Linked DNA regions of Cricetulus griseus. The protein of the gene in region 1 interacts with the protein of each later gene in a biochemical or structural test. Links are inferred from orthologs where the notes say so. Each region holds a gene or a part of one and is shown in the gene's direction. Other genes may lie near its edges.

What was found.
Region 2: the proteins of Cdc42 (region 1) and Trip10 form a complex in vitro, tested with the Homo sapiens proteins (3 studies listed by BioGRID and IntAct). The link is inferred for Cricetulus griseus from reciprocal best matches to the Homo sapiens genes CDC42 and TRIP10.
Region 3: the proteins of Cdc42 (region 1) and Pak2 form a complex in vitro, tested with the Homo sapiens proteins (4 studies listed by BioGRID, with this or other methods). The link is inferred for Cricetulus griseus from reciprocal best matches to the Homo sapiens genes CDC42 and PAK2.
Region 4: the proteins of Cdc42 (region 1) and Wasl form a complex in vitro, tested with the Homo sapiens proteins (3 studies listed by BioGRID). The link is inferred for Cricetulus griseus from reciprocal best matches to the Homo sapiens genes CDC42 and WASL.
Region 5: of the proteins of Cdc42 (region 1) and Arhgap32, one has a biochemical effect on the other in vitro, tested with the Homo sapiens proteins (3 studies listed by BioGRID). The link is inferred for Cricetulus griseus from reciprocal best matches to the Homo sapiens genes CDC42 and ARHGAP32.
Region 6: the proteins of Cdc42 (region 1) and cdc42 effector protein 5-like form a complex in vitro, tested with the Homo sapiens proteins (2 studies listed by BioGRID). The link is inferred for Cricetulus griseus from reciprocal best matches to the Homo sapiens genes CDC42 and CDC42EP5.
Region 7: the proteins of Cdc42 (region 1) and Ncf2 form a complex in vitro, tested with the Homo sapiens proteins (2 studies listed by BioGRID and IntAct). The link is inferred for Cricetulus griseus from reciprocal best matches to the Homo sapiens genes CDC42 and NCF2.

The regions. Positions count from the first base shown.
Region 1 is NC_048595.1:15,952,692-15,957,022, forward strand, and holds the start of Cdc42 (cell division control protein 42 homolog), read left to right. Parts: upstream 1-1,509; 5' UTR 1,510-1,631; intron 1,632-4,331. UniProt on the Homo sapiens protein: Plasma membrane-associated small GTPase which cycles between an active GTP-bound and an inactive GDP-bound state. In active state binds to a variety of effector proteins to regulate cellular responses. Involved in epithelial cell polarization processes.
Region 2 is NC_048598.1:96,232,937-96,237,258, reverse strand, and holds the start of Trip10 (cdc42-interacting protein 4), read left to right. Parts: upstream 1-1,521; 5' UTR 1,522-1,644; coding exon 1,645-1,668; intron 1,669-2,848; coding exon 2,849-2,964; intron 2,965-3,048; coding exon 3,049-3,105; intron 3,106-4,322. UniProt on the Homo sapiens protein: Required for translocation of GLUT4 to the plasma membrane in response to insulin signaling. Required to coordinate membrane tubulation with reorganization of the actin cytoskeleton during endocytosis.
Region 3 is NC_048597.1:57,460,592-57,464,143, forward strand, and holds part of Pak2 (serine/threonine-protein kinase PAK 2), read left to right. Parts: intron 1-644; coding exon 645-752; intron 753-3,017; coding exon 3,018-3,150; intron 3,151-3,552. UniProt on the Homo sapiens protein: Serine/threonine protein kinase that plays a role in a variety of different signaling pathways including cytoskeleton regulation, cell motility, cell cycle progression, apoptosis or proliferation.
Region 4 is NW_023276806.1:202,727,194-202,731,333, forward strand, and holds the start of Wasl (neural Wiskott-Aldrich syndrome protein), read left to right. Parts: upstream 1-1,288; 5' UTR 1,289-1,491; coding exon 1,492-1,599; intron 1,600-4,140. UniProt on the Homo sapiens protein: Regulates actin polymerization by stimulating the actin-nucleating activity of the Arp2/3 complex. Involved in various processes, such as mitosis and cytokinesis, via its role in the regulation of actin polymerization.
Region 5 is NC_048597.1:144,646,875-144,650,426, forward strand, and holds part of Arhgap32 (rho GTPase-activating protein 32), read left to right. Parts: intron 1-1,390; coding exon 1,391-1,462; intron 1,463-2,548; coding exon 2,549-3,427; intron 3,428-3,552. UniProt on the Homo sapiens protein: GTPase-activating protein (GAP) promoting GTP hydrolysis on RHOA, CDC42 and RAC1 small GTPases. May be involved in the differentiation of neuronal cells during the formation of neurite extensions.
Region 6 is NC_048602.1:22,427,759-22,432,016, reverse strand, and holds the start of cdc42 effector protein 5-like, read left to right. Parts: upstream 1-1,421; 5' UTR 1,422-1,666; intron 1,667-1,961; 5' UTR 1,962-2,069; intron 2,070-4,021; exon of another isoform or gene 4,022-4,110; intron 4,111-4,258. UniProt on the Homo sapiens protein: Probably involved in the organization of the actin cytoskeleton. May act downstream of CDC42 to induce actin filament assembly leading to cell shape changes. Induces pseudopodia formation in fibroblasts. Inhibits MAPK8 independently of CDC42 binding.
Region 7 is NC_048598.1:38,811,049-38,814,600, reverse strand, and holds part of Ncf2 (neutrophil cytosol factor 2), read left to right. Parts: intron 1-680; coding exon 681-822; intron 823-1,034; coding exon 1,035-1,103; intron 1,104-1,999; coding exon 2,000-2,075; intron 2,076-3,552. UniProt on the Homo sapiens protein: Subunit of the phagocyte NADPH oxidase complex that mediates the transfer of electrons from cytosolic NADPH to O2 to produce the superoxide anion (O2(-)).

The DNA.
Region 1 (4,331 bases):
GACAGGATCCCTATTCTCTAGCGGCTTTCGCACTAACAGGGAAGACAGCAAACAAACAGGTACCAAGAAGACAGGGAAGGTAGAAGGATTTGAGAGATCAGAGCTGAAGGGACTAGCACAAGACACCCCAAGTTCTCAGCACAAAGGAGATTTATTTGACCCAGGGGGACAGAGGGCAGGGAATATGAGACAAAGACAGGAGACAGAGGACCAGGGAGAAGGGAAAGAGAACAAGGGAGAGGAGGGAAGGAATATTTGTCCCAGAGGTACAAAGGACTGCCTCTGGATTGAGAGGAGACAGACATGGCCCATAGACAAACAGCAGTTTATAAAGGTAAAAGGGGGAAATCCTGAGTTAGGATGAAATTTGACTGGACAGGTTAATTAGGTAAGACAAAGGGGGGTTTTGATCGCTGGACTACAATACTTTGATAGCTGGACATTGGCAGTCAGCCTCAGGAGGAGGAAGTGGCTAAATAAGGGAATGGACCATGGTGGCTAGTTTTAGGATTATAATCTAACGATTTTTAGCAAGACAGAGGGGATGTGGGAGGACAAGGCCATGTTTGCCACACTCGGGCTGGCTAGAGTCCCTTCAAGAGTCAACCTAGGGGGCCAGGGAAGAGGAGCTAGGCAGAGTAAATGCAGGACCTTTTTGAGGGGGCGGGTCTCTAGCTCTAAACAAAACCCAGGGCAATATTCTATTCTCACTCCTTGACAGGCAGATTGTTTAGAGGCCCGTGGGCTTCAGAAAGCTGTGCACAACAAGTCTCTATTTCTCTTTGAGAAGCAAAAAAGGATGCAGGGTGTGGAGATGCATGCCTACAATCCCAGCACTTGGGAGGTGCAAGGATGAGGATCAGGAGTTCAAGGTCAACCTCTGCTACATAGTTGTGTTCAAAGCCAGCCTGGGCTACATGAGACCCTGTCTCAAACGTCATTAAAGAAAGGTACCCTGGTCATGGGGATGCACATCTTTAATCCCAGCACATAGGAAGCAGAGGCAAGCGGATCTCCAAGTTCCAGGCCAGCCTGGACCATATAGCAAGTTCCAGACAGCCAGGGCTATACACAGAAACCCTGTCTCAAAAAAACCAAGCCAAGCCAAACCAAACCAAACCAAACCAAAAAGACATCCCAGACATGGTGTTGAGTATCAGCACGCAGGAAGCAGAAGCAGGAGAATATGAGTTCTGGGACAGTCTGGTCTATATAGCCATTCTAGGACAGCAAGGGCTATATAATGACACCTTGTCTCAAAATAAAAAAATTAAAAATAAGATATATTTACAATGCTTTTCTTCACAAAGTTCCAAGGACAAAAACAAACTTTAGTGACAACACTGTGAACACTTCTGTTCATAGTTTTATTACGAATAAAAATCACTGGTAAAACGTGCAGAAAACCTGAGTATAGGAGGAACTCAGCCCGCGCGTGCGCGATACGGGCGGAGCCACTACCAAGCCACGCCCACCGCGGCCCGTTCCAGCCCCTTCTTCCTCTTTGTCCCGCCCACTTCCGCGGGCACCCAACCGTGCGTCCCCTGCGTGCTGACGTCAGGCGCGTGCCCCTGTCCGGCAGCCGAGGAGGCCCCGCGCAGTGCTGCCAACGCCCCGGCGGAGAAGCTGAGGTGAGTGCGGGGCCCGAGTAGCCTCCCCGCGGGAGTGTGTTGTGCATCGCCCGGTCCCTGTCGCGCGCCCCCGCCCTCCCTCGGTCCTCGAGGATGCTCGCGGTCGGGGGCATCCCGGTACCTGCGGGCCTCGAGGGGGGGGATTGCCGGGTTCGCGTGCGCCCGCGGGCCCGGGTTCTGAGGGGAACGAGGCGGGGTCGCGGAGAGATTTGGGGCCGGAATGGCGACGAGGCGCTGCCGGGGATGGCGGCGGCGGAGGGCGCATCCCGGCCGAGCTGTCAGTGGCGGCGGGAGAACCAGGCACACCCATCCCACCGGCTCCCCTCCCCCTCCGCCCGTCCGCCCTCCCGCCCGCCCGGGCTCCGCAGACTCCTGGACGGGGGCAGCGGACGTAGGGCCGGGTTCCGGGCCGGGGGCTGGGGGCCGGGGGCCGGGGGCCGCCGGCCGCCGTCTACGTTTTCGGTCTCGACTTCCTGCTTCCCGGGCTCCGCCGTGGACGCGTTGCTGCGGGCGGGCGGCGGGGGAGGGGAGCGGAACTGCGGCCGCAGGGCCGGGCCGGGGCCACGGTGACGGACCGGGCGGCTCTGCGCCTGCGCCCCTCGGCGGTCCCCAGCCCCGCGCTGTGTCCGTCCGCTCCTGCCCCGCGGCTCCCGGGGCTCCCGCGACTGGGCCGGCCTCCTTGCCTTCCGGGACCTGTCTAAGCACCTCCCGAAACCCCGCCTGGCCGCTTGCTCGGTTCCTCATTACTAGCAGGAAATTTTCTTTGTTGGTTTTTCTATTTTTTTTTTTTTAATTCCTCTTTCCTCCCCTTTAAGTCCCGTAGAAATGCAGTGTGGAAGATTACGTCATCTCAGCATAAGGGGTGAGAGTTTTAACTCCTACAAGTCAGGGCTCCACAAATTAAGATACATCTTGTGGCCTTAGTGGGTCACTCCACTCAGCACGTCGGTTCAGAGTCAGGTGGTGTGTTTTTTTTTTTTGTTGTTGTTGAAATCATGTTGCCTGCCTTGATGGCTGCCTGAGATGCATCTAAAATACGGAAAGGTTAAAAATCTTAGGCTTAGGTTATTTTTGGCCAGGGAATACACACTGTCTGCAGCCACTTAGGTAGGCATGAACTTTAAAGGTCCCCTTGGCTGTCTGTACTCGGTTGAACTTTCTTGTGGGAGCAATTCTTTGCCACACTGACCAATTGTGACTTAACCTGATGTAAGGAACCTAAATTTGGTGCATGGTGCTAAGGGTGAGCTAAAAAGAGAATTTAGTTGTATATCTGATTTGTCTTTGTTAGAATTGCAACTTAAAGTTGCATGCTTTAGTTTTACCATTAAAAATGGTTTTCGGATTTATTTTTTATTTTGAAACAGGGTCTCTATGTTTAGTTCTGGCTAGCCTTGACCTTAAAGGGACATTCCTTCCTTCTAAGTCTCTCTTTATAGGACTTATTTATGTTCTGTCATGGGAAACTGATAGAATAGTCCCTGCCGCCTAAGTGCTGGGATTACAGGCATGAACTACTTAAATTACCACCCTTGGTTTTAATTTTTAACCCCCAAAACTTGAGTAATATTTTTAGACTTGTATCACTAGAATTGTGTCCTTTGATTATAAAATGCAGCAGTGCTGAAGAACATTAACATTGCAGAGCAAATGAGGTCCACTTGTGTAATGCATCCTTTTAAGGGTGGCTCATGTTTGAGAAAGAATTTTCCCATTATTGCTCATTTGTATAGAAAATAGCATTGCTTGTTAAGAAACACCAGAGTGGTGTATTCAAATTGACTTTCTGTAGTTTGTAGGTATGGCGCTTGAATCTTCCAAAATACACTGTTAGTCTTTTTGTGACATAGGAGTATAACATTGGAGCATTTATTTACTACTGTATTTTTTAGCTTTCTATGTTTAAAAAGTTTATATGTGAGCCAATTTGTATTTATTTAAAAAGTTTGTGTGTGCACCAGTTTGTATTTTTTTCTTTTTAATTAAGTAATCTGGCTGGTGAGATGGTTCAGTGGATAAAAGCACTGGTCAGGCAGGTCTGACTACCTTAGTTGGATCCCCAGAACCCATGGTGGGAGGAGAGAATCCTGATTCCCAAAAGTTGTCATCTAGCTGGATTTATTTAGTGTTCCATACTTTCAATCTTAGGCAGAGGCAGGTGTATCTCTGAGTTTGAGGCCACCCTTGTCTACATAGAGAGTTCTAGAACATCAAGGACTAGAGAGACCCTGTCTTGAAAAAAGAAAAACAATAACTGTCCCAGATCTTCACATTTTGGCAGCATGCAAGCATGCATGTGTACACACTTAGAAATACACACAGTAATAATAAAAATAAGCAATTACTTTGAAGTTTTAGGTTTTAGACTAAGGCAAGGAAATAAGATTGGTAATTAACTGAGTATTAAAAAGGAGCTTTGAAAATATATACAGTAATTTGTTCAAGACCCAAAGGTGTCTTGTCTTCTGTTACATTCTCTTAAGATGTTTCATACAGTGACCAACCCCGTAGCTTAGTAAACACATTTCCCCTGTCCAGTATTCTAAGCAAGCCCATCAAGACTGAATCCTGAAGTTTACAAAATGTCAAAGTTTGTTTACTTAGGATTTCTTTTTTGCACTTGAAATAGTTTTTTAAAATGTTTTTATTCCTTCATACTTTCATACATGCATACAAAGTGTTTTATATTTTGATCATGTT
Region 2 (4,322 bases), on another chromosome or scaffold:
CACCTGCAGACTCCGCCCCAGGCTTAACTCCTTTGCTGAAATCCCGATCTCTCCTCCACATTCCGATCCTAGGCACCTCACCCTATTTTACACGCCTAATCTTTTTTTTTGATTATCTTTATTATTTTATGTGCATCGGTGTTTTGTCTGCATGTATGTCTTTGTGAGGGTGTCAGATGCTGAAGTTACAGACAGTTGTGAGGGCTGGGACTTGAACCGGGGTTCTCTGGTAAAGCCGTCGGTGCTCTTAAACCACTGAGCCATTTCTCCAGCCCCCCCCCCCCCCCCCCCCGCCCATCTTCTACTGAGCCCCCAGATCTGGAAGAGTCCCAGCTTCTGGACCCCAGCTGTAGATAGTCTTCAACTCTTAACTAAATAGCTGATCCCGCCGCTAAACTCGCCACCCCAGTCTGATAGCTTATTCTCATCAGACCTCGGACCCCTCCTCCACCCCCTCTCCCCAACCCCCACTCGGCTTTGCGTGTGCGAGCTTATCCTTCAAGCTGCCAGCAGGTGGGGCTAATGCTCACCGGAGCCTCCGTTCCAGTGGGGTCTCCAGGGCATTTTTCCTCAAAAGTCCGGACTGCGCTTCTCTTCCAGATAAAGCAGCAGAGGGGTGTTTAGGTATTTCTGCAGTAACGGAGAAAGCACCTACGGCCCAGGAGAGCGGGGGTGGGAGCCACCAGGGCCTTTTTTTCTTTTCCATCTGGGAGCCTCAAGGGGATTTACAAGGTGTGAAAGGACCTTTATGATTGGGAGGACCGAATTTCTGAGCCCCAGGGCCCCAGGGTCTACGCTAGGGCGGGGGTGGGATGGGGTGGGGTGGGCGCGGGAGCCACCTAAGAATCTGGTACGCAGTACTGATTGGGCCTCAGAAAATGGGGCTGGGAAATGGGCAGTCAGGTGCAAGTGCGAGCTGTGTGTGTGTGTGTGTGTGTGTGTGTGTGTGTGTGTGTGTGTGTGTGTGTGTGTGTTTAGTCCAGAACTGGGGCCCCAAGGGCAGCCTGTCCTCAGTTTCTCAAAGGAGGTTCTGGCGGGGAGGAAGGGAAGTCAGGATGCGGTGGGGGTGCGCTAATGGACCTGGCATTAGCTGGAGGTGCGTCCAGGGCTGGATCGAAATCATCCCATCTGCTCTGTGGCCGGAGGGAACCAGACCATTAGTGAAACGAAATGGAGATTTCTGGAGCCTAGGTGGCCCCCGCAAGAGCCTAGTGACCGACCGCAGGTTTTCCCTGCCATGTGGTGGGGAGGAGTGGGTTTGGGATTTTGATATTTTGATCCTTTGTAAGAAATGCGAAGTTAAATGGAAAGGATGAATAGTTTGGGATGGCAGAGGAGAGTAATATCAGGGTACAGACTGGAAAGTAAATCGAGGCATCTTTTAAGGAGGTCCAGAGCCCTTTAAGAGAGGGCGGAACATTCGCTGAGCTCCGCCTCATTGGGTTCCTCCCTTAGGGCTCCCCGCTCCAGGCTCGGCGGGGCAGGGGCGTGGCAAAGCGCTAAGGGGCGTGGCGCACTGGTTGAGTGGGCGTGGTCTGGTGGCGGGGCGGGGCGGGGTTGGGCACACCGCCCTGGGGCTGAGTTTGGTGGAGGGTGGCGGGGACCCCGGCAGGAGGTGGTGGCGTCCCCGGCGGCAGGACGAGCATGGATTGGGGCACCGAGTTGTGGGTGAGTCCTTTCTTCCCAGCTCACACGGTTCTCCCTTGCTGGGGTCCTGGCCTCTCCGCTCTTTGTCCCCTATGTACCTTTGCCGGGACTCTGTGGTTTCCCTCGCAGCTGATCCTGCGGGTCCCCGCCTTCTGCCTTCAGCACTCTCTCAAAAGTTCCTTGGGGACTTTCTAGATGCTCAGAGGGCCCTAGGGATACTTTGCCTAGGACCCGTATAGGGAAACTGAGTCACAGAGTTGAGAGTGAGGCCATCACAAGAAGTCCCTAGACCAGGCCAGGAAGGGGGGGGGCAGCTGGGCGAGGTCACCTATTTTGAGCGCCCTGGCCTGGCTTGGAGGCTAATCTTACGGCCCCTGGGTCCCTGCCCGCCGCCCGGCTGGGAGGGGGAGGGGGGCCCCTTGGTCACCTTCTCTCCCACGTGGGGCCTCACTCGGTTGCTTCCCCGCTTGCAATTGCCCTAAAGGGCTTGGGACGCTGAGGGGGAGGGGAAGGGGGCTGCAGGACTCGGCTGGGCGGAGCCACCCCTTACCCGCCACTTAACCTCACCCAGGAAGCCCTAGAAGTTTCCCTGAATCCTTGTTGGACTATTGACCCCTCCTCTTTCTGGAGGCGGTGGAGTCTTCGGGTGTAGTGGAGGCAAGCCACTGTAGTGGAGGCATCACAGAAGCGGGGGAAACTGAGTCACACCCCGGGGATCGTGGCAAATGGGGAAATCTGGCCATTGAGGTTCCCTCCTTCCACGCACTTTGAGCTGCACAAACCCTTCCCTTCTGTGCCTGTCTTATGTGCCAAGCCCGCTTGATTTTCCGGAATTTGGGGGATTAGAGGGTTCGGAGGGAGCTGGAGTAGCTTAGCCTCCTCCCACACCCTCGTTGGCCACCCGGATTCCAAGAGACCCCGCCGTCCGGTTTGGGGCCCTGGCGCTGTTGTCCAGGCCCTTCCCGGGAGGAGGAGATGGGGGTTCCCGCCAGCTTCCTGCCTCCCCCTGCGCCACGCCGGGGCGGCGCCTGGGGAAGCCAGCCAGTCCTTGCTGGAACCGCCGAGCCACGAGGTTGTGTCGAGGTTGTGCCGTGTCCCACCCCCTGCCTGTGCGCCCCCACCCTCTCGTGCATCTGGTCTCTGGGGCTTCGGTGCTCCCTCCAGGTGACCCTGACCTCCCCAATCACTCCCCTGGAATCAGGATCAGTTTGAGGTGCTGGAACGCCACACGCAGTGGGGGCTGGATCTGTTGGACAAATACGTGAAGTTCGTGAAAGAACGCGCAGAGGTGGAGCAGGCTTATGCCAAGCAACTCCGGTGAGCGCTAGGGTGGGTGCTTGCTGGGGCTCCGCGGTGATCCGGCAGGTTCTCAAGCCTCCCTGCCTCTGTCCCCACCCTTAGGAGCCTGGTGAAAAAGTACCTTCCCAAGAGACCTACCAAAGATGACCCCGAAGTCAAGTAAGAATGGGATAAGACTCGGAAAGGGGCGGTGCGGGAGCTGGGCATGGGTCCCTCTCCTTCCCAGAGGACTCCATTTCCGCACCTCCAGTCCCATCTCCCATTAAAAGTCTGGGTGACCTGGGGTGAAATTTACTCCCAGCAGAGCATCCTTTTGGGTTTATAAATTGTCAACTTAGCACAGTTATTGGGGGAGAGTGGCTTTTTACTTTTACTATTTATTTAATTTTGAGAGCGAGGTGCACCTACATATGCCACGGGGCATTTTCCAAAGCCAGATGATAGCTTGCTAGAGTCGGTTCTCTCCTCACGATGTGGGTCCCAGGCCAAACTCAGGTCACCGTGCTTAGCTGCAAGCGCCCTTTACCTGTCCCCTTTATCTGTCAAACCGTCTCGTTGGCCCTAGTTTCTATCTTTGAGACATGGTTTTGGCTGTTCTGTTACTCCCTCTGTAGCCAGGACTGATCACTAATGAGGCAGCCCTTGTGCCTGGACTCCCAAGAGCTGGACTGACCAGCATGTATCATTAAGCCAGGCTTGGGCCAGTGACTTTTAATTATCTCTGTTCTAATCTGCAAAATGGGTCTGATGGTGGTGGTCCCTATTCTTGCTGGTGTGTACAAAGATGAACTGAGTTTATTTGTCTAAAAGCACCGGGCATGTTGGTGCACACCTGTGATCCTAGCACCCTTGGGTTCTAGGCTGGCCTCAGCTATGTAGTTAAGTTTGAGGGTAGCCTGGGCTGTATGATAGATACCCTGTCTCAGATTTCTAAATGAACAAACTGGTAACCAGTCTGTAGTTATTTCCAGGAACTTTAAACTGCATTCTGAACCCTTCCCCTTAAAATCTAAAAGGTGAGCTGGGTATGGTGGCAAGTACTTATTATCCCAGCACTCTGGAGGCCAAGACCCAGAGGTTGTGAGTTCCAGGCTGGTGTGGGCTACATAGTGAGACTATATTTTTAGTAAAAATGTAAAAAAAAAAAAAGTTTTAATCCAAAAGTTCCAAATTTAATCCCAAAACTCACAATATAAAAATTAAGAGTTGTCTTTCTGCTCTTTCCTGCTCTTCTTTCCTGTCTCCCTCTTCTCTTCTGTTCTCCCCCTGTGTCTTTACCTCTTTTCTCTTTCATTCCCCCTCCCTCCCCTGTCTAATAAAACTTTCACTCAAAAAAAAAAATTAAGAGAGTTATTTGTGATAGCTGGATAGATTGG
Region 3 (3,552 bases), on another chromosome or scaffold:
TAGCCTTCAGACAAACAGCTACATAGTTGCTGTTTTTTTCTTAAGTTACCTACTTGATTAATTGAAAAAGTCACGTTAAGTAAATAGAATTTTATGGGCACTTTAAAGCAATAAACTTAATAATAACTTCCAGAGCAATTTAGCTACTTCTCCAGTGTTGCCATATTGAACGTGAATATGGTGAACTGGTTTGCATATTCTCTTTTCCCCAAACCTCCTTCCAGTACCTTTCTGGGTATGGTAAACTGAGGCACATTCTAAATAGTTCACACATGTCAGCTCCTTTTCTTGCTTTATTAACTGTTGTACCTAGATCTTTTAAATGCCTCAAAATGAGGTTTTTTTACATCGTCCAGAGGGCCTTTGCTTTGGTCCAGTGAAATGGATTGCTTACCTAGGAGCTATGGATGTAGCTCAGTAGTAAAGCTATTACACCATACACAGGCCTGGGTTCAGTCCTTAGCAGAACCTCCTCCCCACTAAAAATGATACTTGCCGTACATATTCATTTACTTTTTAATTGGTTATATCAGAACCAGTGGAGTTCAGTTGTTTTTAAATGAGCTGTTGAAGAAATAAATTTACATTTTAACCTTTTAATTTTTCTGGCTTGTCCTCCTTTTTTGCTCCCATGATGAGTGCAGCTGAATACTAAGGGATCAGAAACGTCAGCAGTAGTGACAGAGGAAGACGATGATGATGAAGATGCTGCTCCTCCTGTCATTGCCCCTCGGCCAGACCATACAAAATCAGTGAGTGAAATGTTTAAAGGCCCTCGAACTTAAAATACTGCAGTATGCAGAAACTTGGTTGTTTATCAAAGCCTACTTTTTGGTGCTGATGAAATGGCTGAGCAGGTGCTTTCCACCAAGCCTGACAGCTTGCATTCAATCCCCCAGACCCACATGGTAGAGGAAGAGACCTAACTCCTCCAACTTATCCTCTGACTATCTCATGCACAGTATGGTGGGTGTGCACACACATGCACACAATAAGTAAATTAAAATGAATAATAATGACTTAGAAAAGTAAAGTCTTTTTTTTTTTTTTTAAGATTTATTTATTTAGCCGGGGGTTGGCGCACGCCTTTAATCCCAGCACTAGGGAGGCAGAGGCAGGTGGATCTCTGTGAGTTCAAGACCAGCCTGGTCTACAAGGGCTAGTTCCAGGACAGACTCCAAAGCCACAGAGAAACCCTGTCTCAAAAAAAAAAAAAAAAAAAAAAGATTTATTTATTTATTGTGTAAACAGTGTGTTCTGCCTACACGTTGCCTGCAGACCAAAAGAGGGCACCAGATCTCATTATAGATAGTTGTGAGCCACTACATGGTTGCTGGGAATTGAACTCAGGACCTTTGGAAGAGCAGTCAGTGCTCTTAACCTCTGAGCCATCTCTCAACCCCTAAATGTTTCTTTTTTTGTTTGTTTGTTTGTTTTTGTTTTTCGAGACAGGGTTTCTCTGTGACTTTTGGAGGCTGTCCTGGCACTTGCTCTGTAGACCAGGCTGGTCTTGAACTCAGAGGTCGCCTGCCTCTGCCTCCTGAGTACTTGGATTAAAGGTGTGCAACACTACTGCCTGGCCTGAAAAGTAAGGTCTTGAGTAAGCATGGTGGTGTCCATCTTTAATCGAGCATAGTAGGTGTATCTCTCTTTTGAGTTAAGAGGCCACAATTTAGTGAGTCCCAGACCAACTAGAGCTACGTACGAAGACCTAGACCCTATCTGTAAAAGCAGACAAAAAAGAAAATTACAGCTTCTTTAAAAGTTAAGAAACTTAATTTACTGGGTTTTTCTTCCTTGTTTCTCTCTTACTCTAAAGAGGATCTATTTTTTTAGCTTTCTCAATATAGATAACTATTATATCTAAAACTAGATCATTGCTGTTTTCTGAATTATGTATTTTACCTTGCTTTCAAAGGCTATGTTTATTCAAGAGGTGTTTAAGAATGAAATTACTTACCATTAAGAGAATTTTAAGAGTAAGGGCCTTAAGTAGAGCCAGGCAGTAAGAACGGGCTCCAGTACTGCCCTTCCCGCTGTGATGGAATGGAAGGCTGCCCCAGGGTTCTTGCTCCACTCAGCAACAGAACTGAAACTGATGCAGTGGTGGAAGACTGTGTTTTCTTTATGACTTAGGACTGGCTGTTTGAAAGAATATGATCACTGTTGAATTTATGTAAATCTTACAGAGGGAGGTGGTTATAGTTATCTCAACATCAGCATTATTACTCTTTTCTGTTTCTAAGCTGTGTTGGGTTCATTTTGTTTTTGTTGTGGGTTCATTTTGTTTTTGTTGTGAGCCAGGGTCTCGTGTGGTCTAGGCTGGCTTCAGTCTCGCTATGTAGCTGAGGCTGGCCTGGAATTCCTGATCCTCCTGCATCTGCTTCTCAGGCACCCAAGTATAAGTGTGTGCCCTGTGCCTGGCTGCAGGTATGCTTTTTTTTTTTTTTAATTTATTTTTACTTTATGTGTGTGGATGTTTTGCCTAGGTGTATATTTGTGCAGCACATTGTACTTGTTGCCTATGGAGGTCAGAAAAGGACATCAGATCCTTGGACCTGAGTTTCAGATGGTTATGAGCAGCCATGTGGGACCTTTGGAGAAGTAGCATGTGCTTCTTTTCATTACATTGTTCTCAGTACTTTAGATGTAGTCACACTGGAAGGAGTTTCATAGACCTATTTTGCTAGATATTTTCAAAATACATACATGCTGTGTCAAAAAAAATACATTATACATTATTTTCCTGGTTACATGTTTTGGGGAGGTGGAGTATTTGTAACAGGGTCTTATTGTAGCCTGGGGTGTCCTCTTACTTGCCTCCTGAGTGCTAGACTTACAAACAGGCACCACTATGCCTGTGTTTCTTGTGTGAGTATACTGTCCCATTCTTCAAAACAGTGGGAAAGATAACTTAGTTTGGTTTTTTAAAAAAATCAAAGAATACATTTTCTGCTACTAAGACTATCTGAAAATGGTTTTTTCTCAAGTCTCAACAATGAGCTATATCTTTTCAGATTTACACACGGTCTGTCATCGACCCTATTCCTGCTCCAGCTGGTGATTCTAATGTTGACGGTGGTGCCAAGTCTTCAGACAAACAGAAAAAGAAAGCCAAGATGACAGATGAAGAGATTATGGAGAAATTAAGTATGCAGTCTATACTTTATTTTCTTAAAAACATTTGGAACAGAGCTGGAGATAGTTGTTGCCCAGTGAGAAACACTTGCTGAGTGTGTGCAAAAACCCTTGGTCCCTGCCAGCCACATCTAAAGGACATTGTTTGAAACTCTATCACAGGGGCTTGAATATAACTTCTCAATACAAACCTATAAAAATGTTCCTTATAGGCCGGGCGTTGGTGGCGCACGCCTTTAATCCCATCACTTGGGAGGCAGAGGCAGGAGGATCTCTGTGAGTTCAAGGGCAGCCTGGTCCCCAGAGCGAGTGCCAGGATAGGCTCCAAAGCTACACAGAGAAACCCTGTTTCGAACCCCCCCCCCCAAAAAAAAAAATAAGTTCCTTATGGGCTGGCAAGATGGTTCAGTGGGA
Region 4 (4,140 bases), on another chromosome or scaffold:
AGCCTGAAAACTTTTATATTTTCATTACTTTTGGTAATGGTTTACCAATGCATTGAGAGTTATCATGTCATAAAATTTTAATATGCAAGTGTTTAATTGAAACTGAATGATTGGAGAACATCGTTAGTACAATTTATGTGATAAAGTGTATCCTTAATTATCCTTAATGTGAAGAATGGTGAAATGTACATTTTATATAACTCGATGCAATCTGATTTATCATTTCTATACGCCCAAGTTTTTAAATACTGTTTTTTTTTTTTTAGTTTTCCATTCAACCGTATTATTTTATAATAACTTCTGATATTCTGAAACACAGTCATGAAGAATTCTCCGTATTGACTTGTGCTGGGAATGTAGATCAGTTGGCTGAGTGCACCCCAGGCCTAGGTCCCAGCAACTAGAAAAATTAACTCGAAAGGATAAAACAGGTAAGGCATAATCCTGTACAGGAATTCGAGACTGAGGACGATGGAGAGAGGGTTAGTTTCCAATTCACAAGATAAGAAAAAAAAAAAAAAAAGTGGCATTCGGGGCTCGTCGGAAAATTCGAGTGTAAATACTACACACACTTATCCCACGAGATCCGCCAGGCGGGGGGGGTGGGGTGGTGGACGTCTTTTGAAAGCGGGTCCGATTTTGACATCTATGAAGACGCCTCCCCTGATCCTGGCAAAGGTCTGTTCCTCCGCCCCCGCCCCGCCCCCAGTGGCAGCCTGTCGTGAGTTCGAGAACCGGGGGGCACCTGATGGAGGCTCCGCCCGCAACCACGCTGGCCGACCTTTGCAGCTAATCTAGACCTGCCAGGAGGCCTGAGAGTCCCACTTCGCTAAATGTCAAACCCTGGCCACCACTGGGGCGGGAGGACGCGCGGCCCGGTGCGCGCTGCGGTAAGGCGGTGCGCCGCCGGACTCTGCAGCCCCGCCTCGGTCCGACTCTGCGCACGCGCGAGGCGGCCCCGGTCCGGGCTGAGCGGGTGCGCGGGCCTCCGCTGGCTCCCGGAAGGGGGTGGGGCCTGCGCGGCCACGCCCCGGCTACCAGCAAGCGAGAGGAGGGGTGTCCGGCCGCGCCGCGTTTCCGGCGCGCTCCCCCGCGTCCCGCGTCCCGTGGTCTCGCCCGCCCCCGCTGCCATGTTGGATTGTGCGGCAGCCGCCGCCGCGCCGCCGCCGCAGAGGAGGAGGAGTCGCCGCGTTAGCCGCCGCCGCCGCCGCCGCGCCGCGGAGTGCGAGGACGACGACCATCCGGCCCGAGGCGAGCCGGGCGGGAGCCGGGAGCTTCCCTGTCGGCACGCAGTCCGCGCGCGCTCGCCCGCCGTCGGCTCCTTCCTTCCTTCCTTCCCTCGGCCTCCGCGCAGCGGAGGAGCGGCGGGATGCTGCGCCGCCTGTGAGCGCCGGCCCCGCGCCCCTGTCACCCCGAGCGGGACCGAGTGAGTGAGTGCTCGCCCACCTCCTGAGGAGACAGCCCTGGACGCGGCACCCCGCCGGCGACACCATGAGCTCGGGCCAGCAGCCTCCGCGGAGAGTCACCAACGTGGGCTCCCTGCTGCTCACCCCGCAGGAGAACGAGTCGCTCTTCTCCTTCCTCGGCAAGAAATGTGTGGTCAGTGAGCCGAGCGAGACCCCTGTCGCCACCCACCGCGTCCCCGGGCGGGCTCGGGCCGGGGCACTAGAGAGTTAGGAGGGAGAAGGGGGCGGGCGGGCGCGCGCGGCCGGGGTCCCGCCGCGGGCCAGGCCTCCAGCTCGCTCGCCCGGGCCCGGGTGCTGCCCCGGGTGCAGGCCGCCCTGCCCGGCCCTGCCCGGCCGGGAGCCGCCTCCCTGAGCTACTGGAGAACCAGGGAGTGTCACCTCTGCGGGCCTGCCCAGAAGTCCAAGTCGGGGTCCGCGCCCTTGCTGCAGGTTCAAACTTTACTCTAGACCACAAGGGAATTTTTCTGGGTGCATCAGTAGCTTCATCTCCCAACGGGAGCCCAGCCTTGCTTTACTTCCTACTTGTGGATCTGGGCTGTCTTCGTTAACAATGCTCGGGGCTTTAGGAGTGAATAGATGCGGGGAGGAGGGGAGAAGCGCGCATCGGCTTTATCGATCCCCCCTTTAGGATTCCGTGAGAAGGGTAAAGTGGAGTGCAGGTTCCCGGACACCGGCTCAGAGCGAGGAAGGGGCAGGAAATGCGCCTGCACCCCACTGCAAAGAAGCAGGGCTTATTTCCCCAGCGTTTGCGCCTAGGCCTAGTTTCTGCACTCCGCCCCACTGTTTTTTGTTTTATTTTGGTTTTTTGTTCTTTTTTTTTTTTTTCTTCCTTGCATTGGTAAGAGAGAGTGCTGCTCTCACCGCAGCCATGCATAGAGACGCCGCAGTTTCTACTAGTTCCTGGCCATTGGAGTCAAAAGTGATTCTGAGTTTGGTCCTGTGGGGCCAATCCCAACCCCAGATGGCGGATTGGGAGCGAGTAGTTCTGTGGGAAGGGGGAATGCCTGTTGTTGACGGAGGCATTCACGACTCGCTTCTGGGGCTGGAAGGCTCTCCCTGGTGAAGGCCTTATCTTGGTCTTACTGAGGTGACTCTTGAGTTGAAAGGGGGATTGTTAAAATACTGACTAGTCTCTTGCTAACACCCGCCGAGTGTGTGCCCCTGGAACCCAGGAAACACGCTGAGAAGTTTCAGCTGAGTAGGACCATTTTATATTTTTCCTTAGCAATGTTAGATATGTCAAACCAGACTACACCTGCTTAAGAAGTTAAGAGTAGACAGTTTCTGGAAAGTTACCAGCTTAATTGTTAACTTTATGAGCTTACTTTTTATATCTACTTCTGGACTTAAGATGTATTTCTTGTTCAAAAATTTAGACTTTAAAGAACACCAAGTCTACAACCAGAAGTAGTAAACAGTTTCAAGAAAGAAAGAAAGAAAGCTGGGGAGACAACTTTAAAAATGAAAGAAGTCCTTCCTGGTATATAGTATTTTAAACAAAAGAGAAAGTGGAGCCCTTGGCCCCAAGTCACAGTAATTTAGGAATGTAACTGGAACTCTATGTCTAGTCCCTTTGTACTTTCCACTACAGCATGTTGTTTCTTGAGGATTTTTCCCCCTTAATAATTTGGTTGTCAAAGTGGTGTTAAGGGAATAACTACTTCATTTTTACATAGAATGGATATCATTAAAATGTGAGTTTCTAAAAACAATGTTTTGCATATTTTCAGTTTGGGAAAGTCTCCAGCTTTTTTTTTTTTTTTTTAATGAGCTGCCTGCAAACAGGGCCAACTTTGTTGGTTTATTACATTTAGTGTACAATCTACCAAAAGTTAAGGAGCTTTCTGTGTTCACATACCAGACCCATGAATTCCAGGCATGGAGGACATTGCATGTATGTGCCTAGTGTACTCATTGCTCAGAGCTTAACTGTAGTGTTTACCCAGGGTTTCAAGGAAATGACAGACGTGGGAGTGTATTTTGATAGACAAAGATAGCATGGCTCACTGTAAGCATAAGTAGGTTGCTGAATTGGTTGCAAGCAGTCAGCGATGAATTTCTTTACGTCATATATTATTAATCAACTTTACCTTTTGAATTGTTGTAATTTAAAACCACATTGTTGTTGCCTTCTCTTGTAAGATGAAATTGTGAAAATTAAACTTTGGAGATTTTGGTTCAATCGAGAGCAATGTAAACTCAATGTTTTGGAATAATTTTTATAGACTTAGGCTCCCTTTTTTTTGTTTAAAACAACAGTGAAATGCATTGTCTCATAAATCAAGCAGTAGAGTTACAGGTCAGATCAAATGTAGTAAACTGATACATTCAGAGCTCAGTCTATGAAGTCAAGGCATGAAACTAGTTATACGGTGCCGGATTTTAAGCAAGTTCTTCATCCCTTGTTTCATCAAATAAACATGTATTGAGTAACTGAACGTTGAGGTCAAAAGTCAAGATTGATGCTTGCCCTCGGGGAGTTTAGTGTCTGATGAAGGAAACAACAAATAAACTGATGAATAAGTCAGTACTTAAGAAATAAATATGCAAGAGGCGCCTGTCACAAGCAGGATTCTAGGTCTGTAGTCAGGAGATGTGGGTGTGTAAGCTCAGAGCTTGGCTAAGCCCCTTCACTCTCCTGTTCTGTATTTGCTTTTCCTACCTGTTAGAGTGC
Region 5 (3,552 bases), on another chromosome or scaffold:
AAAATTAAGGCAGTGCCGTGCATTAGGTGTCTAATTAGGAAGGAATCTGTAAGAAAATGACTTTGAGTATGCAGGCACAGCTGAAGTAGAATTCTGTTTGGCATCTTTGACAGGCAATATCAGTGCTCATGGGGATGGGCTGATAGTCAGGAATGCTTAACTCTAAAAAAATTTAATATTGCATTATGTGTTTGGATGTCTTGCATGCATTTGTGTGTGTGCACTCCATGTGCCTCATGCACATGAAGGCCAGAAGAGGGCACTGGATTCCCTGGAACTGAAGTTACAGATGGCTATGAGCTGCCTGCTGTGTGGGTGCTAGGAATCCAACCCAGGTTTGCTAAAGAGCATCAGTGCTCTTAACCACTGAACCAGCTTGCCAGCCCCCAAGAAGAAAACTTTTAACTTGGGTGTTGAAGGAGGTGCAATTCACTTGATCTTTAAGGGGACTAAGAATACTATTTCAGGAGATGAGAGCAGGGTGGGAAGAGGTTGGACAAAAGAGACTTTTAAAGGATTGCAAGAGATTTTATTGTCAAGAGAGAAGAGCAGGATGAGGTGATTAGGAAGGTTGTAAAGAGCTTAAAGCAGTTTGGAGTGCTTGCTACCAGCAAGTCAGCAAGACGTGGGAGGTTAGCAGTTAGTTAAAATAACTGAATTTCCTGAGGCTGCCATTATAAATAATTACGAATTGAGACTGAAACACAAAAGTATGTGGAAACTCTGTCTTACAGGTGTCAGCTCAACTGTGGTTACCTGTAAGTTCTCCAGAGAAGATTCCTTCCTTCTTCATCTATCCTCTCTTGGCTCCTGACATCTCTTGCCTTTAGGTAGCATCACTCCAATCTCTGCCTGCATCTTCACAGGGCCTTCTTCTTGGTGCCTTGTTGTCTTGTATTTTTACAAGAGCACCATCATTGAGGATTGGGCCTCTGTAAAATGTCATCAGAGAGGTAATGACTCAGTGGTCAAAAGCTCTTTTAAAGGACTGGTTCAATTCCTAGCACCTGTTACAAGCTCCATGGGATCCATCACCCTCTTCTGGCCTCCTAGCACACTGGCATACATGTGCATACACTCACATGGACCAGACACATGAGTAAAAATAAAACTTTTAAATACATCACTCAAGGTTATCAAGTTGGTCATCAGGAAACATAGAAGGAAGAAGTGTTTTAGTTCACCTCTGTGTGAAAGTTCACACGCTGTAGAAAAGTGTTTTCACATGGAAAACAATAATGTAGCATAATGGGATGATAAACTCAATGTGACTGTCAAAATGCATAGCTAATCCCACTTGGAAATGCAGACTTAGGAAAGACACCAAGCCCTTTAACTGCAAAATCCTTAATAATCACCAGTTTTACACTATTTCGTTTTGATTGTTTAGGTGGCAGGGCAGAAGGAACCCTCCGCTCAGCTAAAAGTGAGGAGTCTCTAACTTCTCTCCATGCAGTTGACGGTAAGACTAAAATGTTCTGTGATGACTTGCATAAAAGGACATGCACATGGCAATGTTGTGAATGTGTGCTTAGCAAGACGACTATGAAATATCACTTCCAGTAGTATTGATATTTATTAAATATGGTTCAGTTAAAACTCATGAATATCTTAATGTGGTGATGTATTTCGGCATGAATGCTATTTATATCAAATGGCTAAAATGTTTCAATGCAAATATTTATATTTGTCAATTCTTAAAGCAAGTATCATTAATTCCTTTAGATTTGGTATGGGAGCAGCTTTGATTCTCAGTTGTTAATGGATGGTGGGTGATCTCCAGTACTCAAGGGTCATTAGCAGTTGGACATGACAGCTTAAAATGGGTCTAGCTCCAAAGGGGACAATGTCTTGGCAGAACTTAGGGAGGTGAGGTTACAGCCTAAGTTGAAACTCAGAATCCAACTTCATGAAAGCAAGTGTGCTACACTGGGGCAGCTTGGGTTTGCTTGAGAAGTGAAAAGCCTGTCTCGTTACAAAAATGTGGAAGTATTGTAAATGTGTGAATGAAGTACTTTATAAAATGCATGTGAATGCTTTTTTTTTATTAGGAAGAAACATTTTTTTCTGTAAAAATAAATTTGGGCATAGTAAGGATATTTTCCCACAATAAGCAAACTTTGTTTAAACTGTATTATACCCAAAGTGCTATTTTTAAGTGATGTTTTCTACTTATAAATCATATGTAAAGCCATTGATAAAATAAGACACAAAGAAAGTAAAAATCTTGCCCAGTGTCACACCAAAAGTCAGTGGATCAGTAATACAATCCAAGAGTCCCTTGCTTTTTTTCTTATCAGGCTATGGATAAGACAATGCATCCTTTGCTGCTTATAGCACGTGGACTTGTTGCTTACTATTTGATTTGGAAGTTCTCTTACCATAAGAGTGACTGACATCTGTACACCCAGAAACAGTTTGTGGGAAGAAGATTAAAAGTTGCGTTTTTCTTACCTCATGCAATATTACTACTGTACTAGATGTGACTAATTGTGGTGTTATGTGTCCTGTGACAGTCGTGCTTTGACACTGTTGTCCATTTTTACAGGTGATTCCAAGTTGTTCCGACCCAGGAGACCCAGATCTAGCAGTGATGCACTCTCTGCCTCCTTCAATGGAGAAATGCTGGGGAACCGCTGCAATTCTTATGATAATCTGCCCCACGACAATGAGAGTGAAGAGGAAGTGGGGCTGCTCCATATTCCAGCTCTTGTGTCCCCTCATTCTGCCGAGGATGTTGACTTGAGTCCACCAGACATTGGAGTGGCCAGTCTGGATTTTGATCCGATGTCATTTCAATGTAGTCCTCCGAAAGCTGAGTCAGAGTGTCTGGAGAGTGGAGCTTCCTTTCTGGATTCGTTAGGGTTTGCCAGGGATCAACCAAGTATCAGTAAGAAGGATGTAGAAGCAGGTGGTAGCCAGTCTCAGACTCCAGGCAGCACGGCAAGCTCTGAACCTGTGTCTCCAGTCCAGGAGAAACTGAGTCCCTTCTTCACCCTGGACTTGAGCCCAACTGAGGACAAGTCTTCTAAGCCATCTTCATTCACAGAAAAGGTCGTTTACGCTTTCTCTCCGAAGATTGGACGGAAGCTAAGCAAATCTCCTTCCATGAACATATCTGAGCCCATTTCAGTGACTCTTCCACCTCGGGTGTCAGAAGTCATTGGTACTGTCTCCAATTCCGTAGCTCAGAATGCATCATCTCCATCTTGGGATAAAAGTGTGGAAGAAAGAGATGTCATAAATAGATCCCCCACCCAGATAGGAAAGATGAAATCAAGTGAGAGAGAGGCACAGGAAGGAAGTGAACCTGAAGTACAGCCCCTGGAGCAGGGGGCAGCTGAAGAAGTAGAATTGCCAGGGAAAGAGGAGCGGCCTGTCTCGAGCAGTCAGAGCAAGGCTGTACCTTCTGGACAGAGTCAGACAGGTACCGTTTGTTCTCCTCCATTCCTTCTCTAAGTTAAGAGGGTCTTCCGTCCTGTGTGCCATCTGTGCCTTTTAAGAGAGTCTTCTCCACAGCTAGGCTAGAATCAAAGAGAATGTTTTTCTGAA
Region 6 (4,258 bases), on another chromosome or scaffold:
TGTACCTATGTGTGTGTGAGTGTGTGTCTGTGTCTGTGAGTGTGAGTATGTATGTGTGTGCATAAGTGTGTGTATGCATGTGTGTGTCTCTGTGTGTGAGTGTGTGTTCATGAGTGCGTTGAGTGTGTACGTGTGTGTAAGAGAGAGGGGGCTTAAAAGAGAGACAGTGATTGTGCAAATGAGTCTTAGTAGTTGTCTTTCTCATTCTGGGTTGTTAACACAGTGACCTCCAGGTTCTACCCATTTCCTTGTGCTTTTCTTCACGGCTGCACAAAACTCCATTGGGAATATACACCACAGTTGCTTTATCCATTCACGTTTCTGTGACCCCGGCTCTTGGAACTCACCGACATCCACCTGCCTCCACTATGCTCAGCCTTGACCTTTCTCTTAATGTGCTCCCTCTTCTCTGGACTCTCTGCAAGTTCCCAGTGGTCCTTCCGTGTGCCGCTCACAGGGGCTTGCTTCTGAGATCTGTAACTCGGTCTCCCCTGCACCCCGAGTCTGCTGCCCACTTTCTGTAGATTTTGTCCTAAGCCACACCACACCACAGGACAGCAAACTCTTACACTCTTACTCCCACACTGTTAGGGTAAAGCGAGTGGAGAACCTTGGTGGACTCCATGGCAGGCGAGGGTGACAAACATGCCAGGCAGACAGATCTTAGTGAGGAGTTTTCTTAGAAAGGGAAAGGGGTGAAGTAAAGAGAACAGAGGCAAAGAGACACAGGGACAGGGAGAAGAACAGGACAGAAGAGAAGAGGGAGACAGGAAAAATCCTGCTTGCCCCAAAGGAACAGCAGAAAGAGAGAGGGAAAGAGAGAGTAAGTGGGCGGGGGTCTTTGTTCTAAAGGAGTCCTTTGCACCTGCGAGCAGACTATGCAACCATGGAACCCTGGGCTGACCAGGGGACTGCCTGAGTGCATTTTGCCAGGTGACAGGGCAGGCCAGAATCATGCCTGAATTCCTATCCAGCCAGGTCCCATCAGCTTCAGAAGGATGTTCCCAACACCAGTGTATTGTTTCAGCCACAGACACAGGGACTCAGGGTAATGAGCCTTCTTTGGAAGGTGGCTGAAATAGAACATCCATCTGGGGAGCTCTCCAGGGAGCTCTCAACACCACTTCTTTCTTCCAGCTGGGACTTTAGTTCTCTCTTTCCTTCTTTCCTCTCTTCCTGTCCCCCTCTCCTCAACACACACACACACACACACACACACACACACACACACACACACACACACACACACACACACACAACCAACCACTCCCCCAGCAGTCTGGAAGAAATTACTCTTCTAAACAGCCAGACTTCCCTGGTTTCAGGAAATTCCAAGCTGGGAAGGGGAGGGGCCGGGCTGGGGGCGCGCCCGTCCATCCCCCTAGCTCTGCCCCTGCTTCCACCCCTGCTTCCAGCTCGTCCAGTTCTGGTCTCCTCCTGCCCCCACACGGGCTCTCAGCTTTTCCACCGCCGTGGCTTTCTAGTCCTTTAAATCCTAGAGACAAACTTTGGGGGAATAAGGAAGGCTGGGAGGGGCCTAAGGCTTAACCCTCTCAACCCGGGACAAGAAACCAAGAGCAACTAGGCTGACTGGGCGTTGACCCTGCGCTCGCCTGGTAGGCTACCATGGCCCCCGAGAGGGGCTGAAACTTAGTTCCCGGTGCAGGTAAGAAGGAACCACAGCCAAGATTTGCCAGACTCTGGGATCTAATCTCCTGGGTCTGAGGGAGGAGGGCAGTGGTCTGGATTCCTGTAAATGATAAAAGAGTGCAGAAGCCTGGACCCCTGGAATGTGAGAGCGGAGAGCAGGGGAACTCCCAGCCTGTGAAACCAGAGAGCTAGGAGGTGGGGCTCCTGGGACCCAAGAGCGCAGAACCCTGCCTGAGGTGGTGGCACTCAGACGGCGTACCTAGGTCCTGGAGCCCCTTCCAGGCTGGGCATGACACTTGGTTTCTTGCCAGGTGAGATCCCGCCCGGAGAAAGAAGGAAAAAGGCGCCAGCGAGGTAGCCTCCGAGGCCAGGAGGTACCACATCTTGAGCCAGGAGCCCAACTCAGTCAGGACCACGAGGTGAGGAGGCTGTGGTGGGCAGGGGTCTTCAACCAGAGGAAGTCGCGGGAGGGGGGAGTGGTAGGGGGAGACAGAATAGTTAGCAAAGAGACCAGGGCCTTTGATGTCCCTGCAGCTTTAGGAAAAGGGTTACTAGTCCTAAGATCCCAGGGGTCTCCAGGTGGGATCCCCTGCCAGATCTGGGCTCCACCCTCCTCCAGCGTGAGAACCAGTTGAGCCAGCTCCGGATCGGGTTGTTATTTCCGTCCTGGCAGGGTTAGGACTAAGAGAGGACAGAGGTGACCCAGGTGTGCCCTCCACCCCCCTGCAGCTGGAGCCACACAGTGCCTAGGCAGGAAAGAGAGTGGAAATGGCCACTCTGCTCATCTGACCCGGTGCCTGTCCGGGCGGGCTGGGCCCCCTGTGTGTGCCTGCATCCACTCTGCTTTGCATTGATCCCCAACAACAGTCCCTCTGTCAGAGCCTAGGCTGATGACGAACTTTTTCCAAGAATGAGCGCTTTGCCTTGAGTGTGACAGCCTCGCGACGAGAAGCGCATTCGAGCTTAGAGCTGGAGGTGCAGAAGGACACCTAGGAAAGCGACTCCCTCAGGGTCGCAAAGCCAGCCAGGAGCTGCAGGGGCATTAAAATCTCCCTGTGCGCGTGCGAGAGGCATGCATGTAGTGTGTGCTTGCAGCATTCGTGTCTGCTAGGAGGTCTGAGGGCCTAGGTCGGGTGTCCTGCTAGATTATTCTTAGTCTTGAGATGGGGGAGGGTCTGTTACTTTTGGTTGTGAGCCTAGCCTTTAACGGCTGAGCTATCTATCCCTCCAGCCCTGGGAGGGTCTCTTATTCAAATCAGAGTTGAATAAGCCCCAGCTATCTTCCTGCCCCCGCCCTCTCTATAGCACTGAGTTTAGAGCAGTTAGCCATCTTTCCAGTCCAAAGAACTCTTTTGCTTGTTTGTTCTTGAGACTGCGTCCTGTGTTGCCTGGAACTGTCTACATAGACCAGGGTGACCTCAGACTCACAAACCTCCGCCTACCTCTGCCTTCTTTTGTTTTTGTTTTTGTTTTTGTTTGGGTAGGGCGGGGCGGGGTTCAAGACAGGGTTTCTCTGTGGTTTTGGAGGCTGTCCTGGAATTAGCTCTTGTAGACCAGGTTGGTCTGGAACTCAGAGATCCGCCTGCCTCTGCAGGCTGGGATTACAGGGCGTGTGCCCCCACTGCCCGGCTATCTCTGCCTTCTGAACACCGGGATGGAAGGCATGCTCTTTTCGGTCGTGACCCCAGCCTTTAACAGCTGCGCCATCTTTCTGGCCCCACAAAAGACTTCATAGATTGGAAAAGAAAAAGGCAGATAAGGTACCAAGGAATACCAAGGAAAGCTATGGCCTTTGTAACAAATTAAAACATGTATTTCCCATTCCACACAGCCCACCTCCTGTGAATGACTGAACTGTAACCACTTCGTTACATTTCACACTCCATCAGCCCATTCTAAACCCTGCGTGACCTTCCTTCCTTCCTGCGTGACCCAGGGCCAGTTACTGAACCTTTTTGTTTTTCATCATTGAAAAAAAAATTAAATTATCACCTTCCACTCCCTGGATTGTTCTGAGGACTAGAAGAGTTTGTGCAACTTTTCAAGGCACCTTGGCCAGGAAAAGATTCTTGGAAAGTGAAACGGGCTGTGCTTGTTGTTGCCTGCCACCCTTAACATACAGGGGCCTGACTCTTGCTTTTCAGGAAGAAATCTAGCGAAATGTTTAGGAAGCCGGTTAAGGTCCCATTAAGAAAGAAGTGGCAAATTTCCAGCCCCAGGACGTGTCATGTTGCAGATGCGATCCTAGCTGAATCTGGTGATGCAGACCTATAAACCCTGCTGCTGGGGAGTCTAGGCTGAGGCAGGAGGATCACAAGTGCAAAGTCTGTCTTTGTCAGAGAGTGAATTTAAAACCAGCCTGGGAACGGGGCCTTCGATAGCTCAGTTGGTAGAGCCGAGGACTGTAGTGGATAAGCTGTGGCAATTCTTAGGTCACTGGTTTGATTCCAGCTCGAAGGACATTGGGCATTCTTTTGCCAGGCGTTGGTGGCGCACACCTTTAATCCCAGCACTTGGGAGGCAGAGGCAGGCAGATCTCTGTGAGTTCAAGACCAGCCTGGTCTACAAGAGCTACTTCCAGGATAGGCTCCAAAGCCACTGAGAAACC
Region 7 (3,552 bases), on another chromosome or scaffold:
CAGCAATTTGTTTATGACAAAGCTGTAAGGCTGTCTTTTATGTTAAAACATGAAAGTTGACTTAATAGGAAAAAGGGTAGGGTATGGAGGCTCACATTTCTAATCCCTGCCTTTGAGAGGCAGAGGCAGGATTGCTGAAAGCTCGGGCCAGCCTGAGTTACAGAGTGATATCCCATCTCAAAAAACAAAGACAATATAGAGAGGATGAGTGATGGGGGTGGGGTGTTCTACACAACGTGTTCTGTTGACTAAGTGTTACGGGAAAGGAATTTGTGCTAATTCTGCCGGCAACCAGGGATTATAAAAGTTACAGCCACGTGGGTGGTGTGCTCAGTTCATAAGTGAAAGCTGTGCCATGTGTATACCTAGGTGTAGAAGCGTGGGGCATACAAGGGTTGGGTACCATATATGGGTTCACCCATCTCTTGGATTCTTGTGTAGTGTTTCCTGAGGACAAGGGGAACTCCTGTGTGCTTATGGAACGACTCACCTGCGGTTTCTCACCTCATCCTTTCAGGATCCCATGCAGGCCAGCACCCTGCTCTTGTCTCATAGACAGTAAGATGTGGAGTTAGAGTGAGTGCCAAGCTAAGTCTCTGGCCTCCGTTGCTTCTCCTGCAGTAAGGGGATGTGTGTGGTCCAAGCTGAATGATGGGCTGGGTCTTCTGTGTACCCTTCAGGGCTTTGGAAGGCGAGGCACATCGAGTGCTGTTTGGCTTTGTGCCTGAGACACCAGAAGAGCTACAGGTCATGCCAGGGAACATCGTTTTTGTCTTGAAGAAGGGCAGTGATAACTGGGCCACAGTCATGTTCAATGGACAGGTATTTGGAAGGTCATGGGGAGGTGCTAAGGGCATAGGGTCCCAGCAGCAAAGGGCAGAGCTCTTCCATGGGACGGTGGTATCTGCTGCATTATTTGCAGACCTGGGCCATCATCTGAGTGCTGTCCCTACGCATGGCTGTAGACTGTTCTGTGTTTTGGGTACTAATGAGTCTTTGTTTTCCTTTCTGTGTCCTGGGATGCCACACTGCAGAAGGGGCTTGTCCCTTGCAACTACCTGGAGCCAGTTGAGCTTCGGATCCATCCTCAGTCGCAGCCCCAGGTAATGTAGGCCTAGCCCCGCCCCCCCCCACCCCTCACATAGCCCTCCAGGGAGAAGAATATGTGAAAAGGGGCAGTCTTCCTGTCATGGAAGAAAGACTCAACTAGCTCTGGGCCACTTGAGCTGATATCAGATGCCTAGGCCTGACAAGAAAAGATCAGCTATGCCAAGTGGAGGCAACTGTTAGGAATCCACTGGACTCGCCCCACCCTGTGAGTCCTTCTGGTCAGGAAGACTTGGAAAGCGAAGCCTGACCATTAGAGCTAGATGTTCCCAGGCAAGTCTTTTCACCAGGGAGAGTCATCAATGTGTCTGTTACTACAATGCCATTTAAAACAAAGTAAGGGCTGGGGATGTAGTTCAGTTGGCAGAGTGCGTGCGTAGCGTGCATGAAGCCCTGGCTCAATCCCCAGCACTGAATAATTCAGGCACGATGGCATGTGCTCCTAACACTTGGAAAGAGGAGGCAGGAGGATCAGAAGCTTGTCATCCTTAGCTACATGGCCCTCTGAGGACAGCACGTGGTCTGTCTCTTTATAGTGTGTAATGAGATGCACATGTGTGGAACCCTCCCTGGTCAGTCATGAAACTGAGGCACTTCAAAGTTTCAAATGCCCTGCAGATGGGAAGTGAAATTTTCCCTTTCTCTGTACACTCTGCAGTGGGCACAGAAGCACAGCATGCCACCCCACTTTGGTGGGTTTTCAAAATGGCTGATGAGATGGCGTGAAGGGCCTTGTGGGCATTAAGATTCTTACTGCTGCCACGAATTAGCCCCCTTTCCTTAGTCATCTCTCTGTGTCATATCACCCTAACTTTTTTAGTCATTTGCATCCAGTTTCTTTCCAGGGAAGCCCTCATGCTTTTGTCTGACTGTCTCCTCTTGTCACCTCCAGGAGGACACCTCCCTGGAATCTGATATTCCACCTCCTCCTAGTACCAGTGCCCCAGCAAGATCCCAGTTGTCACCAGGTTGGTGGCCCAGGAGCAGAAGCTCTCTGGGATGCTTCATGATGAAGAGCTGCTTTCCTAGCCATCTAGGAAATTCTGGTTTCTTTACCCAGCATGCCTCTTGGCTGATGACTACATTTCCTCAGAGCCCTGTCTTGCCTGCACCATCATGCCACTGGATGGTGATGGCAATGCCCCTCCCCCACCTGCTTAGAAATGAGTGCAGATGAAGGGACAGTTAAGTGCCTGTCATGAGAGCAGTCACCAAATGACCTAAACTAGGTCCAAGAAGAAAGGCAGCAGTAACTGCATTTTCTCACCCCAGCCTTCTTCAAACCACTGAGGTGTATGTGCTCTCCAGACTATAGGGCTTGAAGAAGGGACCACTCACTGGAAGGTGTGGATGGGAGATCTTTCCAGAAGGATCTCTCTTAAGCTGGGTAGCACTGTCTTGGAAAGCAATGACTTTTTGTTACTGGTGAGTTTAAGCAGATTCTGATGGAGATGACAGAGGTCTCTTTCCATGACTACCTGATTATTGGAGCTGCTTTTATGCCCCTCCCCTGCATATTTATTTGAAAAATTGCAGACCTTCAGAAAAGTTGGAAGTAGGATACAAAAAATACTACAACACTTTTCACTTAAATACACCAGTTATGGGCCAGCAAGGTGGCTCTGTAGTTAAAGGCACTTGCTACATAAACCTGGTGATGACTGCAGTTACCAGAACCTACTTAAAGCAGGAAGTGGAGAATCAACTCCCCAAAGAAATTGTCCTCTGGCTTCTACACACGCCAGGGCACTTGCCCTCCCATCATGCACACATGCTAAAAGAAAAATTTTAAATGTAAACAACATATCAGTACCTCTTTGCCCCTGTGAGCCACTTAAATATAAGTTACAGACCTATGATACAATCTACCTGGGTATAACTCCCCTACGAACAGGCACAGCTTCTGCCTAAGGAATGCATTCTCATCTAGGACACCGCCCGCCTATTCCACGTGTAAATACTTCAGTGGCCCTGTATAGTGTTCATCAAAGCATTTTTGTTCTTACCTTCCCTATCTGGAGGTTCACAAAAGGATACAATGCTGAAGAGATTGAACTACCGGATTCCTAGACCTTTGGTTGATGTTAGCAAAATGTCCCAAGTGATTCTAATCTACTGGGAATGAATTTGTGATTAATGGTTCTTACATCTTGGGTGGTAAATAGTTCCTATTACCCACACACTGCTGAGTTAACATATTATGCATTTTAAAACCACAAACATACTCAACACTACAGGACCATGAAATGGTAAGGTTCTGCTGTTTATGTCTGGGGCTCCGGCTCATGTCACATGACCTCGCTCTGCCTTGGGGCCTACTCGTTTAACCGGCCTTTAGGCCAGTCCTCTGATAGTTAGCAATGCTTCCGAGAAGCAGAGACTGGCTTCGCTCCCATGCTTGTGGTCTCTGAGATTCTTCAGAGTGAGATTTTTAGATGTTAAAGG